Linked DNA regions of Arabidopsis thaliana. The protein of the gene in region 1 interacts with the protein of each later gene in a biochemical or structural test. Each region holds a gene or a part of one and is shown in the gene's direction. Other genes may lie near its edges.

The links. Proteins that work in one complex are often made in the same cells at the same time.
Region 2: the proteins of WDR5a (region 1) and ATX1 form a complex in vitro, tested with the Arabidopsis thaliana proteins (one study listed by BioGRID).

The regions. Positions count from the first base shown.
Region 1 is NC_003074.8:18,410,777-18,418,004, forward strand, and holds WDR5a (Transducin/WD40 repeat-like superfamily protein), read left to right. Parts: upstream 1-2,787; 5' UTR 2,788-2,913; coding exon 2,914-3,579; intron 3,580-4,159; coding exon 4,160-4,447; 3' UTR 4,448-4,937; downstream 4,938-7,228. Other genes in the region: BAM2 (Leucine-rich receptor-like protein kinase family protein), read left to right, coding at 6,965-7,228. UniProt on the Arabidopsis thaliana protein: Forms multiple COMPASS-like complexes involved in histone methylation by interacting with different histone H3 'Lys-4' methyltransferases such as ATX1, SDG14 or SDG16.
Region 2 is NC_003071.7:13,454,561-13,465,395, reverse strand, and holds ATX1 (homologue of trithorax), read left to right. Parts: upstream 1-2,964; 5' UTR 2,965-3,214; coding exon 3,215-3,798; intron 3,799-3,953; coding exon 3,954-4,005; intron 4,006-4,106; coding exon 4,107-4,181; intron 4,182-4,284; coding exon 4,285-4,504; intron 4,505-4,655; coding exon 4,656-4,782; intron 4,783-4,889; coding exon 4,890-4,994; intron 4,995-5,148; coding exon 5,149-5,348; intron 5,349-5,468; coding exon 5,469-5,561; intron 5,562-5,675; coding exon 5,676-5,773; intron 5,774-5,865; coding exon 5,866-6,024; intron 6,025-6,820; coding exon 6,821-6,964; intron 6,965-7,046; coding exon 7,047-7,094; intron 7,095-7,215; coding exon 7,216-7,333; intron 7,334-7,407; coding exon 7,408-7,473; intron 7,474-7,584; coding exon 7,585-7,646; intron 7,647-7,745; coding exon 7,746-7,802; intron 7,803-7,895; coding exon 7,896-7,964; intron 7,965-8,079; coding exon 8,080-8,263; intron 8,264-8,565; coding exon 8,566-8,811; intron 8,812-9,009; and 11 more. Other genes in the region: SAD2 (ARM repeat superfamily protein), read right to left, coding at 162-258, 342-477, 785-877.

The DNA.
Region 1 (7,228 bases):
TATGTCAATATCAAAAGCAATATATACCCATTAACAAACAAAAAGAAACGGTATCTAACTGCAACATATAGTGAAGAAGGCCAAAGTTCTACACAAACAATTCTCCTTCGTCACTGTTTATAAACGTATAAACTCGTATAAGTTCTTATAAGCAATAATCCGGAATAACGACAGTAGAAAATAAATGCTAGTTGTACATTTTAGTAGTTGAATCTCTGACAAAAAAATAAAAATAAAGGAAGAACTAAATTTAACAGAATCATAATTTATGACTGGTAAACTATAATTAATCATACTTTATAATTAAAATTTAACAAAATTAATTAAATAATGATTTTCCTAGGTGAAGATATGATATTATGATTTATGATCTCCAATAATTTATGATTGGTAAACCTACAATATAGTAAATTTCTTTATTTATTTTTTGTTATTTCGCCCATCTTGCACATTACCAACGAAGTCATAATTTTATATGAAATCCTTAGTTATTTATGCATTACGACTACCCACATAGAAGTATGGGTACTCACACCTAGTTTATTTACAATTTAATATGCATTGCATGTTCTAAAATTTCAACTTGAAGTTTATGATAAAATATAAATACGGAACAGTATGTTTATCGAAAAAAAAAAAACTTGAAGTTTATATCTCACCGAAGAATCTTCCGGCTCATCAATGGTACATAAATTATAATAAGGTGCTCGTTCATATCTAGCTTTATCATTTATAACATACGAAAATGTAACAGTTGAATTGCTAGCAGAAAATTAGCAGTGGTGGTGGTGGTAGTGGTCTTGTTAGTTGTTAGTGATTTGTTTAGTCTATAATAAATACTAAAGAGATGTTATTGGTTCCTAAAGAAATTTTCATGACCTTAATAATATTATAAAAAGTAAATAAATGAAAGATTAATTTAAACTATTGCTAGAAAGTTGTTTAATTCTTATTGATTATTTTCTCACAATTTTGTAAAATTTTCCAAATAATATCATTATTTTGATGATACTTTCATGACTTTATTTTAAGAAGAAAAATATAGAAAGTTATATACTAATAACACAATAATTTAATTTATTAAACAATCATTGATTCTTTTGTTTTAATTGAATAACACAAAACTTTTAATGACTTTATAAAAGTATGAATCCAATAACTCCAAATTTATGAAGATTTTAAATTTTTTTTTACAAATTTTAAACTAATAGTACCAAACTTTAACAAACTTTTAAAAATATTAATTTGATAACAACAAATTTTACATAATATTTTAAGTTAATAAAACTCAAATTAAATCACAAACCAATAACACTCCCAAAATATCAATTTAACGTCACAAGTACAAGATTGAAACTCATTAAATATGTATGATGTATCCTACTATATTATTTGGGAAGTACATTTTAAATGTAACCTTAATTTTTGTAATTAATTACATGACAATGCCATTAGAAAAATTTAATCAAAAACAAAATCTTTTAATAACACATTAAGATTACCAAAATCATTTAACGACAATATTCATCTCTTAATTATAGGCTTATTGGATTTAAAGACGGGTCATCAAAGATTTTCTAACTAAAGCAAAATATACTGAATATTCAAATATCTATCTATTACCAAATTATAAACAATTAAGTTCGTAAAACAATTTAATATTTTATATACGAAATAAAGTAAATCTTAATCACATAAAAATTAGCACAAAAAAAAATATGGTACATTCAGGTCTATAGTATTTTTGCAAGACTTTTTTGGTGGATTTGGGTAAAAGTGCATTCGGGTCATATGGTACATTCACCTATTAAATAAATATGGTATACTCCTATGTTATTAGCTAAAATGTTTAGATTATAATTCAGAGTCATATCATAAATAAAATTACTATTAATAAAATAAATGGCTTTTTGGCAAGACGGATTTGGAGGGACGGGTTTTTGAATCAACATTAATAAAAAAAGTAAAATATAATTAATCCACCATTTCAATACGGGTTAAATCTTTAATTTATTATTTTTTAAGACCACTAATATTAAACATATCAAATCATCCTAATTTAGAAAAAATTATATAAAACCAAAAATGTTATGTGGTATGTATAATGTTACTATATATAAACTTAAACTATAAAATATAAATGTATTAGAGAATGATACAATTTGCAAAACTTTTATATAGAATAAATAATTCTTAAATTTTAAAAATTACTACTTTAAAAAAAAATCACGGAACGGGTAAAGAAATTACATAACGGGTTTTATTTTGGAATTGGGTTATATGGTGGATGTATTTGAATTAATATTTATAAAATTTTAAAATATTATTAATATGTTGTTTTAATAGGGGTTAAAACTTCAGTTTTTTAACAATTGTCTCATGGATTCGTGGTATAGTGTTACTTAATAACAATTATAAACTGTAAAATATAAATATTTTATAAAAATAAAATTTGCAAATTTTAATATATATTACTTTTAAAAAATAAATCATCCCCTGGTATACCGAGGGTTAAAATCTAGTCCATGATTGTTACGGCATACCAAACTTACATGATAACTAAAGAGTCTTAGGTTAAAACTGTGGTAGTCAATATATGAAGAGTGTTGTTGATTTAATTTGCGAAGCAAGAAAGAACTAAAATTTTAAGACATTCCAAAAGACTCTGTATCATTCTGAAGGTTTGAGCTTGGAAAGCGAGCACGTGAGTCGCTCGTGAAACTATATAATTTACGAAAACTCTAAATACACCCCAATAGTATTATTTCATTCAAAACACACCCCACAATTTATTTAAAAGAGTCGGGGTTTTTCCAAGAACACTGGATCGTCGTCTCTCTCCTTTAGTTAGACAAAGCCTCCTTTCCCAAAACCCTAAAATCAGCCAAATTCAAATTCCGCTAACCAATTTCCATGGCAGAGGAAATTCCAGCAACAGCATCATTCACTCCATACGTCCATTCACAAACTCTAACATCTCACAATCGCGCCGTCTCCTCCGTGAAATTCTCCTCCGATGGACGTCTCCTCGCATCCGCCTCCGCCGACAAAACAATCCGCACTTACACAATCAACACCATTAACGATCCAATCGCCGAGCCCGTACAAGAATTCACCGGCCATGAAAACGGTATCTCCGATGTTGCATTCTCTTCAGACGCGAGGTTTATAGTCTCAGCTTCCGATGACAAAACCTTAAAGCTATGGGACGTTGAAACTGGTTCATTGATCAAGACGCTTATTGGACACACTAATTACGCCTTCTGTGTCAATTTCAATCCTCAATCAAATATGATTGTATCTGGTTCGTTTGATGAAACTGTTCGGATCTGGGATGTCACTACTGGAAAGTGTTTGAAAGTTCTTCCCGCGCATTCTGATCCTGTTACTGCTGTTGATTTTAATAGAGATGGGTCTCTCATTGTTTCGAGTAGCTATGATGGGTTGTGTCGTATATGGGATTCTGGGACTGGTCATTGTGTGAAAACTCTGATTGATGATGAGAATCCTCCTGTTTCGTTTGTTAGATTCTCTCCTAATGGCAAGTTTATCCTCGTTGGTACACTTGATAACACGCTGGTGAGTTCACTTGTTGAATTCCTTTCAAAGATTTGATGTTTTTAGTGTGATTACTAGTTTTGCTCTATAGTGATCTCGAAAAAAAGCATGAAGATTTTGGGTAGAGTGTGTTAGTAGAAGTTTGATGTAGGAGAAGCCAATTCAAAACTAAGTTTACAGAGAAGTTGTTAGCTTTAAGTATAGTTCTGTTGTTGGTTGATATTCAAGAGTTTCGAAGGGTCGTATCTAGAGGGTTGTAGCTTCGAAGATACATCGTCGTTTGGAGTTTGATTAATTTGCATTAGGAAATTAAATTCTTATGATTCGTTATTAATGCACTCATCTCTCCATGAACTTAGATTCTAGGTTGTGTGTTAATAGAAGTTTGATGTAGGAGAAGCCAATCCAAAGCTATTTTTGCAAAAATTGTTATCTAGTTAAGGAAAAGTTGATAGCTTTGGAACAGTTCTGTTATTGATCGAGATTCAACACTTTTGAAGGGTCGTATTTAGAGGGTTGTAAGATACATCTTCTTTTGGTGTTTGCGTCTATAGGGTATTGTTGAATAAAGGAATTCTCATGATTCGTTATAAATTTGCAGAGGTTGTGGAACATTTCGTCTGCTAAGTTCCTCAAAACATACACTGGCCACGTGAACGCACAGTATTGCATTTCCTCTGCGTTCTCCGTCACAAATGGAAAGCGAATAGTCAGTGGATCCGAGGACAACTGTGTACACATGTGGGAGCTAAACTCCAAGAAACTGCTACAGAAACTTGAGGGTCATACTGAGACCGTCATGAACGTAGCATGCCACCCGACAGAGAACTTGATCGCATCAGGCTCGCTCGACAAGACAGTAAGGATTTGGACACAGAAGAAAGAATAAATCATCACTCTCTCTCTTCAGAAATCAAACATGTAGGTACATGCCACCTTCTTCATGCAGTAATCATCTGTTGCTTACTAAGCTTGTTAGATTGATTCTAGCCTCATTATGTAAAAGTCTAATTTTTGTTTGGTGTAAGGGAAGTGCAACAGACTGTTCTAAACTTGTAATAGTTCTCTGTGTGACTCAGAACTATTTAGGTAGGTCTTAAGGCAAAGACTCCTGCAAGTGCAAAGGCATTTGAGAGAATGAACACAAATCTTCATAGGTTTACCCTTTACTCATTGTATCTATTAAGCTGATGCAATGCTTCACCAATACTATTGGTTATAAAGTAGTTTCAGGATTGAAAATTGTTCATCTGAACCATATTGATGGGTGGCTCATGGGTCAAAGTACAGATATATGACTATAAGTAGATAATGTATGGTAGTTGGTTACTTTGGTTGGCCATGATGATGAAGCTTATGGTCCCCTGGTCCTGTCCCATTTTTTACTTTTCATTTTCACTTTTATCGTAAAGTCTTCTTTTTTTTAAACCCTACAAGATTTTGAAATGGACCACTTGAAAATTTGAACCCACTCTCTCTTTTTTTGTTTTCAATTTCGAAACCAAAATTTTTTAACAAAAAGATGACTTTGTGACCTTTGTTCTGTCTTTTAGCTACACACCAGTGGGCTGTTTGCTTTTACAGCGTGTCTTTCTGTTTACATGATTCAAGAGAAAGCAACAGTTCCTAAAGACTCAGTCATGTTTGTGTCTCTCCCAATTGATACAAAGACCAAAATTCAGCTTTGGTTCTTTTGTGTAAAAGTTCTCGAGATATGCTAATAAGATTAAACATAAAAACTCTCAAAAAGAGTATAAATTGAATTCTTTATGATTGTAGTAGCAAACAATAATTGTTAGGTTTAGTGCTATCATAATAATCTATTAGTCAGGTTAAATATATTCGATTTGGTACCAAATACGAAATCAAGCTTCAACAAACGAATCTGCAATACACACACACCCATCCAAAAGTATATCTTCGACATTTTCCCCAAAAAAGTATACATTTCCTAACACGTGCTTACCAATTCTTATCATTCGAAGTAAACCATTAAACAAGAAATGTTTTCATTATTATAAATTTTTCACTAATATAAGTTTATTATTTAGTGCAAGAAAGTGCGTTGCAGATGAAAACTTATTCTATTGATCCGGGTCCATAAAGAAGAAAACAAAAATTCACCTAATACGAGTACGACTTATTCTAGTGGCTACATATTTCCCTAATCATGTGACTAAAAATCTGCTTTCAAAATTTTGACATTCAGTATTTCTTTAGATCTATATCATTAAAAATTCATTTTTTTCTTTTGCATTTTGATTCCATATTTAATACAAGATTAAAAAAAAAAAAACTAATATGTTTGTTCACTGAGCAAACCATTATTGTTGATCAGTGAACTGTGGTAACTGGCAAAAGAAGCAAATGATTCGAAATCCTACTTTCTTACAAAATCAAATTGGATAATTTTGTGAGATAATAAAAAATCAGTATAAATAAAATAAAATACATGTCGGGAAACCATTATTGTTGATCAGTGAACTGTGGTAACTGGCAAAAGATGAAAATGATGCACATAGGACTGTGTTTAACTGACTTACTTCCACTAATCAAAAGTACGATCGTATCCCTACCCATCTCTCGAGGATCTTAACTGTTGCCGTGCGTCATCTCAAGGTTGTTCTCGTCATTATCAGTCGATCAGAGTACAGAGACCGGCTCTCTGGGTTTTGTCGATCATGCCATTGCCTTGGGGCTTGTTGTTGTGGTCCGTCCTAAGGATAGAAATGTTATTACAAAGCTTTTTAAGGGGTTCTTTGGTTAATTAAGTGTTTCGTTTTGCTTAAGAGAGGTTAAAGAAGCGGGTGTCTCAATAAGTTTTGGTAAGTTTGTGAATCCCCAGTGGTGGACTCCATCTTTTCCCGTCGAATTATAACATCAGGACCGTTCATTTCAACATCATCAATTAATTCATTATGGGGTTTATCTTTAAAACATCTTTTTGAATTTATGGTTCGCTTTGGTATTGCATTATTACACTTGTATACCTGTGTAATAAAGTGTTGGATTTTGTCAAGATTAGGTAACATCACGTTTCAAAACAACAAGGCTCCAAATTAATTAACATTTTCTTCATGTAATTATCGTTTTTGAATCCCTTCCTTTCTAATTCCATGTTTCATTAAATCCACCACATGCATATGTTTCTATATATGTTAAATAAACGACTTTTCAAGTTTTTAATTTGTGTTTTCTATTTTCAGAAAATTTATGTGAAATCAAAGTTTCTTAAAAATCTCCCTCCAAGTAAATTCCAAAATAAAATAAAAATAATACTTTTACAATATACAAATAAAACTCATAAAAAACACACACACAATCTTCATCTTCCTCACTTACTCTCACCCTTTTTAAAACCAAACCCTAACTTACACAGAAAGAGAAGAAAAAAAACAAAAAAAAAATGAAGCTTCTTCTTCTCCTCCTCCTCCTCCTTCTCCTCCACATTTCTCATTCCTTCACCGTCGCTAAACCAATCACCGAGCTCCACGCTCTTCTCTCACTCAAATCCTCCTTCACCATCGACGAACACTCACCTCTCCTGACCTCATGGAACCTTTCAACAACTTTCTGTTCATGGACCGGTGTCACGTGCGACGTCTCTCTCCGTCACGTGACCTCTCTCGACCTCTCAGGTCTTAACCTCTCCGGAACTCTCTCCTCCGAC
Region 2 (10,835 bases), on another chromosome or scaffold:
AGACAATCTATCAGACAAGATGATGAGCAATTTGTAGGCATGATTAGCCATACAGGTTACAAATATTTTCATAAAATCGCTTAAAATCAGACCACGTCAGACAGAGTTCAGCAAACCAAATGACTTGAATGATAATTCCAAAAGCTATCTGGCAAATTTACCTGAGTAAGGTTGGAACTTGGGTGACATAGACGAGAATATTGTCCCTCACCAATTCTTTGTCACTCTCAAATATCTGCTGCTGCCTTACTGCAGGACCTGCACCATCAAATATGCAAATTAATCTAAAGATCTTCCAAACGCTAAGCCGAGACAAGATAATTAGAATACAAAATTATTACCACAATCCTCAGGTGACCAGTTCTTAGCAATTAAATTTTTGAACTGAATACTAGCAATTTGACGCACTGCCATGTCACAATTTCCATCCACGGCTATCTGCAATAACCTCACCAAATGCTGGGGCGTGTGCTCCAACTGCAAGACAAAAGAATAACGAGAAACTCAGGCATCAGAAACTGCATAACTTTAATTGATCATTAGAAATAGTAAACACCACTGAAATCTGGCTACAGTGAATTAAAGCAAATAACGATTTGTTCAAAAAGAGTGGGAATCTTTGAACTATCTTCAGTAAAACCAGAAAGTGAACTTATAAGGAAACTCTATACATGAACTCAGCTCAAACTTTAAGATACTACTAGCAGAATAAGAACAATCAAACTCGCGACCAAGCAACCGTGTAAATACATCGAAAGAGAAATTGAAGTGGAAACTGAGAAACCTGATTGAGTTGCTGCTCAGAAACTTTACGCTCATCGGGAATAGGGCTAAGAGCGGCGGTTCGGAGGATCAAAGCGAGGCTATGCAGATCCATTCTCCGTGGAGTTTGAGAATCCGGACACTAAACAGAGTAAACCTTGATGACGATCAGAGGCAGTGGTTGATATTCGATTTGAAATTCCCAACCAAGAGAGAGAGCTGAATTAGAGGAGGGGAGAATCTCAGAAGAGCATGATAGGGTTTAAGAGGGACAAGAATGGCGGAGAAGAAGGAGAAGAAGATTTGATTGATAGTTGGCGAGAGTGGAGGAGAGGGACAAATAGAGCTGGACGATTTACAGTATTTAAATCCCTAGGGTTGTTTAACTAACCAAAACCACCCAATTTTGATTCTGATTGACCCGGGTCTTCTTTAGCCGGTTTATTCCGAACCGGGTCTTCTCTTACTAAATGACGTCACTGATTCTCTTACTAATTAAGTTCAGGTGAATTTGAGGGGAAAACAAATATTTTTGGACATGTATGTGTCTGAAAATGTGATTTTCCCTCTTTTTTTTTGATGAATATATAGTTTAAAATAAAAACTAACAAAGACATAAAAAAATGTTTTTCTCCTTTTAATCAAGTATGTATTATTTTATTTGTTCTGGTCATAATCCTAAGTGAGTGTGGTTGGTATTTTGATGAAAATTTAAAATTGTTCATTCCATAATATTTATGTCCAAGTATATATGGACGTAAATCATGTAAGCGATGATGAATCCCAATGTTAGATGACATCAAAGAATTTTGTGACCATAGGCCATATGTGTTGTGTAAATTTTGTGGGTATCTAGAGAAAGCCAACCAACAAACGCTATATGGATACTTTGACAATAAGTTCCATCCATCAGCTGCCAGTTTGTCCAAGTATCAAAATTTCATCCGAAAAGCTGATAAGCCGCCAATCTGCCCCAAGTATCTAGGAAACGACATATTCTAATGCCTAGTTGATGGGAAGAACTTTGGAGGTACACACATCACCTATCTTGAAGCTCATGAAAGCAAGTATTTTAACCTTACTTACTTTTAAATATATATGTCTCTAGCGTGTATAGCATCCCTATGTGGATCAATTTAGAGCACTAGTGAGCATTGTATGCTACCGCATAAGAAAATGCAACTACTGTTAACCATGATGATTACATCCTTATTAACATATATGACACACTGCAAAAGTCACTGGATGCGATCAAGTTAGCAGCGGTATTTTCCATGTGTCAAAAGCATACTAATATACTACAGTCAACCGTATATTGTTCTTTAGTTAAGTTAAGTAAAGACTACTCCTACTAGACAGATATTCGGTTTATGAATCCAAATCAAGTAATTGCTATGAATAGCCGTTCATTTAAGAATGAAGATAAGGGAAGTGAGTTGAAATGTTTCTTTTAACCTCATATCTTTACTTCAACTTATCACACCTTAAAAACTGGATTAGAGTTCCACTTGTCCGATTCATAGAAAAAATCTTGTATCTATCACAAAAATCTTTAACATATGTTTGATTATTTATCCACAAACTAAGCTTTTTAGGTTGAAATATTATATTATTCTAGAAAACTTCAGAACAATCCAAAACAAGTAATACCAAGGGAGCAAATCGTTGGAATTTCCTCACAAGAAAATTCTCTAGCTCATTTGAGAAAATAGGTAGTATTACTTGAAGAACCCCATTCAATAATTGAATTTATGAGCAATTCGGTTGATTTCTACCTTCATTCAAATTCTAGTCAATCTTGTCTTTTTGTTCCAATGGAATTTAATTTGGATTAACCAGAAAAATATGTCTTATACACTATACTTAACAGACTAAAAACCCAAAAATATACGTATGAACTGAAAAAAAACAAAACAAATTCCATGTAGTGAAGATTACACAAAAACTGGTAAACAACAATTATCTGAAAACAAAACTATATAAAAGAATCAGAGACTCTTGTTGAATTTTGCCCAAAAAAAAAAGACTCTTGTTGAAAATAAAATACATGACAACCGGGATTTTTTTTTTCTACAAGTGGAATTTTTATTTATTTTATTTTTAGTTTTATATGTTTTTATTAACCAGATATTAATTTTTATATACATACACACACACACTATATATGAATGTATGTATGCGGAGATATATAAGGAGACAGAGCAATAGATCTGAAAGACTTGTCATCATCTTAATAAACCCGGCGGGAAACGTAAAAAAGCCTTTTAGCTTCTCCCTCCAAAGGATCTGTTTTTTTCCCTTTTTCTCTGATTCTTCTTCCTAAACCCTAATTTCTCCAATCCACGAAATTCCCTAGCAATTTTTTTGGGGGTTTAGTGAAAGAAGGATAGAGAGAGTGAGCAAAGGTGTCTCCTTTACGAAGCCCTGTGCTTTCTCCCTCCGAATAATCTCCATGGCGTGTTTTTCTAACGAAACCCAGATCGAAATTGATGTCCACGATCTAGTGGAAGCTCCGATTCGCTACGATTCTATTGAGAGTATCTACTCTATTCCTTCATCGGCATTGTGCTGTGTTAATGCCGTTGGTTCTCACAGTCTGATGTCTAAGAAGGTTAAGGCCCAGAAGCTTCCGATGATTGAGCAATTCGAGATTGAAGGTAGCGGTGTTAGTGCTAGTGACGATTGTTGTCGTTCGGATGATTATAAGTTGCGGATTCAGCGTCCTGAGATTGTTCGCGTCTACTATCGTCGCCGTAAGAGGCCGCTACGGGAGTGTTTACTAGATCAGGCGGTGGCTGTGAAGACTGAAAGTGTGGAGCTTGATGAAATTGATTGTTTTGAGGAGAAGAAGAGAAGGAAGATTGGTAATTGTGAGTTGGTGAAATCGGGTATGGAGTCGATTGGTTTAAGAAGGTGTAAGGAAAACAATGCGTTTAGTGGGAATAAGCAAAATGGGTCATCCCGAAGGAAGGGGTCTTCTAGCAAGAATCAGGACAAGGCGACTCTGGCTTCTCGTTCAGCTAAGAAATGGGTCAGGTTAGGGTCTACCTATCATCTCTTTAACTGTTGAAATTCATGGACTTTGAAACTGTTGCGCTGTTGTTTTGCACTGATGATTTTCTTAGTTCAGACTTTGAAGACCTTTTATTGTTAGTGGGCAGACTCCTTATGATGGAGTTTTGATGTGGCAGGTTGAGTTATGATGGTGTGGATCCTACAAGTTTCATAGGGCTGCAATGCAAGGCGAGTGTTTTAACTAGACAATTGTCCACTTTAAGCTATTGCATTTTCCACTTTTTTTGTGAATGGGACATCTTAACAATTGGTTGTCGTTTAATCCCTAGGTTTTTTGGCCGCTGGACGCTCTTTGGTATGAAGGTTCCATTGTTGGATATAGTGCAGAGAGAAAGCGTTACACTGTAAGTAATTCTCTACTCTACTTGAGTTATGAGTTGGGTAGTTCTTTGAGCTATGATATATGTAAAAGCTTGTTCCTCTAACCATGATTAAATTCTTCCTTAGGTCAAATATAGGGATGGATGTGATGAGGATATAGTTTTTGATCGTGAAATGATCAAATTTTTGGTTTCTCGTGAAGAGATGGAGCTATTACATCTGAAGTTTTGTACTAGTAATGTGACTGTCGATGGCCGTGATTACGATGAGATGGTTGTATTGGCAGCTACTTTGGACGAATGCCAAGATTTTGAGCCTGGAGACATTGTATGGGCGAAACTAGCTGGTTTGTCTTAAACTGATTTCCACCTTTTATTCATATATTAAAAAAAATACCTCCTTATGCTATCAGCAAGTTGATGCTGTTGGAAGCATGTAGACAAAGAAAACTACCTACTGACTTCCATAGAACTGCATTTGCTTTCCTATTCGGACAGGTCATGCTATGTGGCCAGCAGTTATTGTAGACGAATCCATTATCGGAGAGCGGAAAGGTCTAAACAACAAGGTATCTGGAGGAGGATCACTCTTGGTCCAATTTTTTGGAACTCATGATTTTGCTAGGTTAGTCAGCGTTTCCTATATACTTAAAAAATCTCGTTTTTCTACTGAGATGTTGAGATCAATGTTACACATTATCAAGCTGAAGTTAACATCCTTTGGTTTTATAGAATAAAAGTAAAGCAAGCAATCTCATTTATCAAAGGGCTTCTTTCGCCATCTCACCTGAAGTGCAAACAACCTCGGTTTGAAGAGGGCATGCAGGAAGCAAAAATGCAAGTCCCTCTCGCTTTTCTTTGGCATTCTGCTTTCTTGACTTTCCAGTACATGTTGCATTAACAATTAGACCAATCATTTCTTCATGATGTTTCATTTTGAAACCTGGACATGTTACCTGTCCTGAAATTTCTGTTATTTTGCCTCACTCAGGTATCTGAAGGCACACAGGCTTCCAGAAAGAATGAGTCAACTTCAAAAGGGAGCTGATTCTGTTGATTCCGATATGGCTAATAGTACAGAAGAGGGAAACTCGGGTGGTGATCTTCTTAATGATGGAGAAGTGTGGTTGAGACCAACAGAACATGTAGACTTCCGGCATATAATAGGGGATCTGCTAATAATAAATCTTGGTAAGCCATGAAACTTATATATAAGTATGGTGTATAATCTTTCATTCTATGGTTCATTATTTATAGTTGGTTATAGGAAAACTCCAATGATAATATATAGGCGTATGACTTGTCTTACAGGAAAGGTTGTGACAGACTCTCAGTTTTTCAAGGATGAGAATCATATTTGGCCTGAAGGGTATACGGCGATGAGAAAGTTCACATCACTCACAGGTTATTTGTTAATCAGTTTTTGGCTTTTACTTATAAATCAGGTATTTTTCCATATTTGGTTAATTGTGATTAGTTCTCAATGTGATGTGGGTTGTTGCTTTTGGTTTTAAGCAGATCATAGTGCATCTGCCTTGTACAAGATGGAAGTGCTCAGAGATGCCGAGACAAAGACTCATCCGCTGTTTATAGTGACTGCAGATAGTGGAGAGCAGGTGAGTTAAACATATCTATTAGTATCTGTTTTATTGAACTTTCAGGTCAAGAATCTATCTCTGGCTAACATCGGTAACTAATTTTTTGGCAGTTCAAAGGGCCTACTCCATCGGCCTGCTGGAACAAAATATATAATAGGATAAAAAAGGTCCAGAATTCTGACAGTCCTAATATTTTGGGTGAAGAACTAAATGGATCTGGTACAGACATGTTTGGTCTCTCCAACCCAGAAGTCATTAAACTTGTACAGGTACCTTGTCATTGCATGTAAAATTATTTGTGGTGGTGTGCATGTGTTTTCATGATAATCTGCTTGCACATGCATTTTGGTCTCATAAAAATCATATAATTGTCTGGACACTGAATATTTTGTGGTACCCTTGCTTTTGCTTTATCTCTAAAACGTGTAAGCGGGTCTCATTTATGTTTAATATGAATGTTTGATGCACAAACCAAGTTTTCCTGTAAGACATTTAAGCTTGTGCACTAAATATTTCTATGCAGCTCTTTGCTAATTGGTTTATGGGTAGCCTAATTCGCTATTTCCGGTCTAAAGGCATATTAGAATCACATCTTCATCAATGAGACAACACTAACTTCACCTACGAAATAATCATTTCTGCCTAGTGACTATGGCTTCTTTTCTTTAATTGTTACGGTTTCTTTCTCTTCTGTAAGAAAACTGTATGAATTAAATTAACAGTTATTAATCGAAGCCAGCTTAACAAGTATTTACAGTGAGTTTCTAAGGATAAAATATGTGCATTTGGTCTATTGATTGAAAGAAAATTTGTGTTTAAGTGAAACTAAAGAGTAGAATTCTGTTCTGGAGTCTTTATAGCGAAACTCGTTTTGTAGGACATATTACCTTATATTATTTCATTAGGCAGATACCTATCAAGATGGTTGCTAGAATTTGCAAACTTTTATAATTAATTCCCTATGTACTGCTTGCCGGCGCCCTGTTTTATACAATTGCATTATTGTTTAGCTTCTAGTGTCTACACTTAATATGTGTCTCACCCTAATATACCATTACGTAGCAGGATTTATCAAAATCCAGACCATCGTCCCATGTTTCCATGTGCAAAAATAGTTTGGGAAGGCATCAAAATCAGCCTACTGGTTACCGACCTGTCCGTGTTGACTGGAAAGATCTCGATAAGTGCAATGTCTGCCACATGGATGAGGTAAAGGTTTTTTTTTTGTTTCACATGAGATTTCAAACGTTTCTCTTTAGTTAGTTCTGATTTATATATTTTTTGTCTGCAGGAGTATGAGAACAATTTGTTCCTGCAATGTGATAAATGTAGAATGATGGTATAGCTCATGCTCTGGGCTTTTTTAGCTATCATATACCTCTTAGATGTATATCTTTAGTGCCTTGTGCTCTTTCTTTCTCTTGGGTATGACTCAATTTGAATTCCTGGTCCACTACTAGGTCCATGCTAAATGCTATGGAGAGCTAGAACCCTGTGATGGTGCTTTGTGGTTATGCAACTTATGTCGTCCTGGTGCTCCTGATATGCCTCCACGGTGTTGTCTTTGTCCTGTAGTAGGTAATTTTACCGTACCATTTGGTGTATGGAGTCTATATGTGCTTTCATTAGTGAATAATTGAAACTTCTTTTAGGGGGTGCTATGAAGCCGACAACTGATGGTCGCTGGGCTCATCTGGCTTGTGCTATATGGATCCCAGGTTCAATCTTAACGATTTGTTGTTCTGTATAAGTCTGCTTTCCTACTAATAGGAGGCCGTATTACACTATTACTTTCCTATTTACAAATTAACACTTGTTATTTTATTCAGAAACATGTTTATCTGATGTCAAGAAGATGGAACCTATTGATGGGGTGAATAAAGTCAGCAAGGTACGTACTTATTTTCTTGTTCGGATTCCTTTACCTTGGTACTGTGGCCTTTTCAAAACTCTTATCCCTCTTCCTCTTTTTCTCTACTCTTAAAACTAGGATCGTTGGAAATTAATGTGCACCATCTGCGGGGTATCTTATGGAGCTTGTATCCAAGTAAGATTTCGTTCTATGTTAAGAGAAAACTGAATCATTCTTATGCATTGTTCAAGAGCTGATATATATAATTTTAAAATGACTACATTTCAGTGTTCAAACAATTCTTGTCGCGTGGCATATCATCCACTCTGCGCGCGAGCTGCTGGTCTCTGTGTTGAGGTACCTTAGGGAATAAAAAAAATTTCTTTCCCACTTACACACATGTACTCTAACACAGCAAGTCCACAAAAGAGATGTTTCTAACTGATTATTGCTTTCCTGACTCTCCATGTAGCTTGAGAATGACATGTCAGTGGAGGGTGAAGAAGCAGATCAGTGTATCCGCATGCTTTCATTCTGCAAGCGACATCGACAAACATCAACTGCCTGCCTAGGATCAGAAGACAGGATCAAATCCGCTACTCATAAAACTTCTGAGTATCTCCCACCACCTAATCCATCTGGCTGTGCTCGGACAGGTATGCAGCTACTGCGTTTATCTGTGGATGCTAAGATTAAAATTTAGATTCACACCACACTTTTGGGACAGGATTATTTCATCATTATTCTTTTACCTTGCATACGGCCATGTGTGTTTTGTTCTCTTTCATATTCTTACATATCCTCTTAAGATATCAGTTTCTTACTTTATATACAAGCATTTTTTAGATTTGATACAAAGGTCAAATTTCAGGCTTTTGTGTTTCCATTCTTTTCTACTTTTATTCGTGTTTGCATCCTATGGGTCAGTATAGATGATAATTTCCGTCTATTGTTGCAGAGCCTTATAATTGTTTTGGCAGAAGAGGGCGAAAGGAACCTGAAGCTCTTGCTGCTGCTTCTTCAAAGCGGTTATTTGTTGAGAATCAGCCATATGTTATTGGTGGTTACTCTAGACTTGAGTTTTCAACGTACAAAAGCATTCACGGATCCAAGGTGTCACAGATGAATACTCCAAGCAACATTCTTTCTATGGCTGAGAAATATAGATACATGAGGGAAACATACAGGAAGAGATTAGCATTTGGTAAGCATTCGTTATTCTTTAACTTTCAGTAAATCTTAAAAGATATTACAGGTCTTTTCAACTTCTGCTAAGATAAAAAATATAGTAGGATTTCTGTAGGATAAAAATAATTTGTAGGATTCCTTTCAGAATGATCTAGTCACATCCTAAGCTTCTTTCAGAAAAATCTTATAAAAGTTGGTTCTTTTTTTGTTTCAGGGAAATCAGGAATTCATGGTTTTGGCATTTTTGCAAAGCTTCCTCACAGGGCGGGAGATATGGTGAGCATACTCAACTTGAACTGGACATTTCATCTTTAGAAAGTGTCACTCATGGAAATATTGTATGATTCTTGTGCAGATGATTGAATATACCGGAGAACTTGTTAGACCGTCAATAGCTGACAAAAGAGAACAACTCATCTACAATTCAATGGTGGTACGTATTTCTGACTTAACTTACTTTCTACATTTTGATGTTATGGAGAAGATTCTATAAACAATAATGGAACAAATAGTCAGGGGATTAATCTGTACCTATTCATCATCTAAAACAGTAACTTTTTGTATTTTTCTTTTATCTTTTACTTTCTCTGTAGTATAAATCTTGGATGCGACGAATTCAATATCTGAGAAAAAACAAAATTTTCTTATGTGATAGGGTGCAGGGACTTACATGTTTAGAATCGATGATGAGCGAGTCATAGATGCTACAAGGACAGGAAGCATTGCTCACCTGATTAATCATTCATGTGTGGTATGAATATATCTGTTAATCTAATTCAATTTAGTTAGCATCTGCAAAAACTGAGCATTTTTGTCTAACTTTAATGCAGCCCAATTGCTATTCTCGAGTCATCACTGTTAATGGAGATGAGCACATTATCATATTCGCAAAGAGGCATATCCCTAAATGGGAAGAGCTGACCTATGACTATAGGTTTCACTTTGATGCCCTTTGAATCATCTGAGATATTCTATGATCATTTTCTGCCTCTGATCTTGTAATGTTTACAGGTTCTTTTCAATCGGGGAGCGCCTTTCATGTTCGTGTGGCTTCCCAGGGTGTCGAGGTGTTGTTAATGATACAGAAGCTGAAGAACAACATGCAAAAATATGTGTTCCTCGTTGTGATCTAATAGACTGGACCGCAGAATAAGCGACTAAAACTGTAGTTAGTAACAATCATCCCTTTATAATGTTGTAGCTCCTTATAATGAGAGAGCATCTGTTGTTTAGTTTTGCCACAATCCATTTTTTTGTACAGATACTAATTAGTGAGTAGTAAACTACACGGATCACAGAGTGGTAAAGCAACAGTACAATTCTCTTTTTCTTTCCTGATTTGAGTGTGCCTTAGGTTTTATCCTGATGGTGTCAATTTTTAGCAATTGGGATGCAGAGCATAATGTTTTTAACCTTACTGTCTAGTATCTCTACCTGAAACAGAGGTTTTGCAAGGATTTAAATCATTGATTTGTCCAAAGCAATATCCCTTTGGTACCAAAAACTGCATTTACACAAAGTATTTATAGTTTCGTACATTTATAAAGGCAGAGCAACTAATTGCATTTTGAGTTATTTGTGCTATGACTACTTTTCTTTGACAATTACTACAAGACAGATAACCACAGGGTTTTTCACAGAGAATACTATAGTTTTGGCACAAGGTGAAATGCATAACGGTATCTTTCAGGTAAAATAGAGCTGCCAAGGGTGGCACATTCATAGGTTGTACAGTTTTCAATCGATTGTTGTTCATTGTAAAATACACTTTTGGTAAAGGTGATTGCATGCGGATTCCCTCCTTTAGAAAACAGGGATAAAAGATACATTCTGAAAACGACTTTTTCGGATGTGGCTCGCCAACAAAAGACGAGATGGTAATCCCTGAGTCGTCGTTTGTTCTTCTTGGTTGAGAAAGTTGTAAATGTCAAGTCCGACTCCTTACCTAGGAAATTCACAGCAGAGTCTTTTTGCGTCTGACCGCAGATTAGACTTGCAGACTTGGAAAAACAAGTGGTGAACGACACCTTTGTCATATTG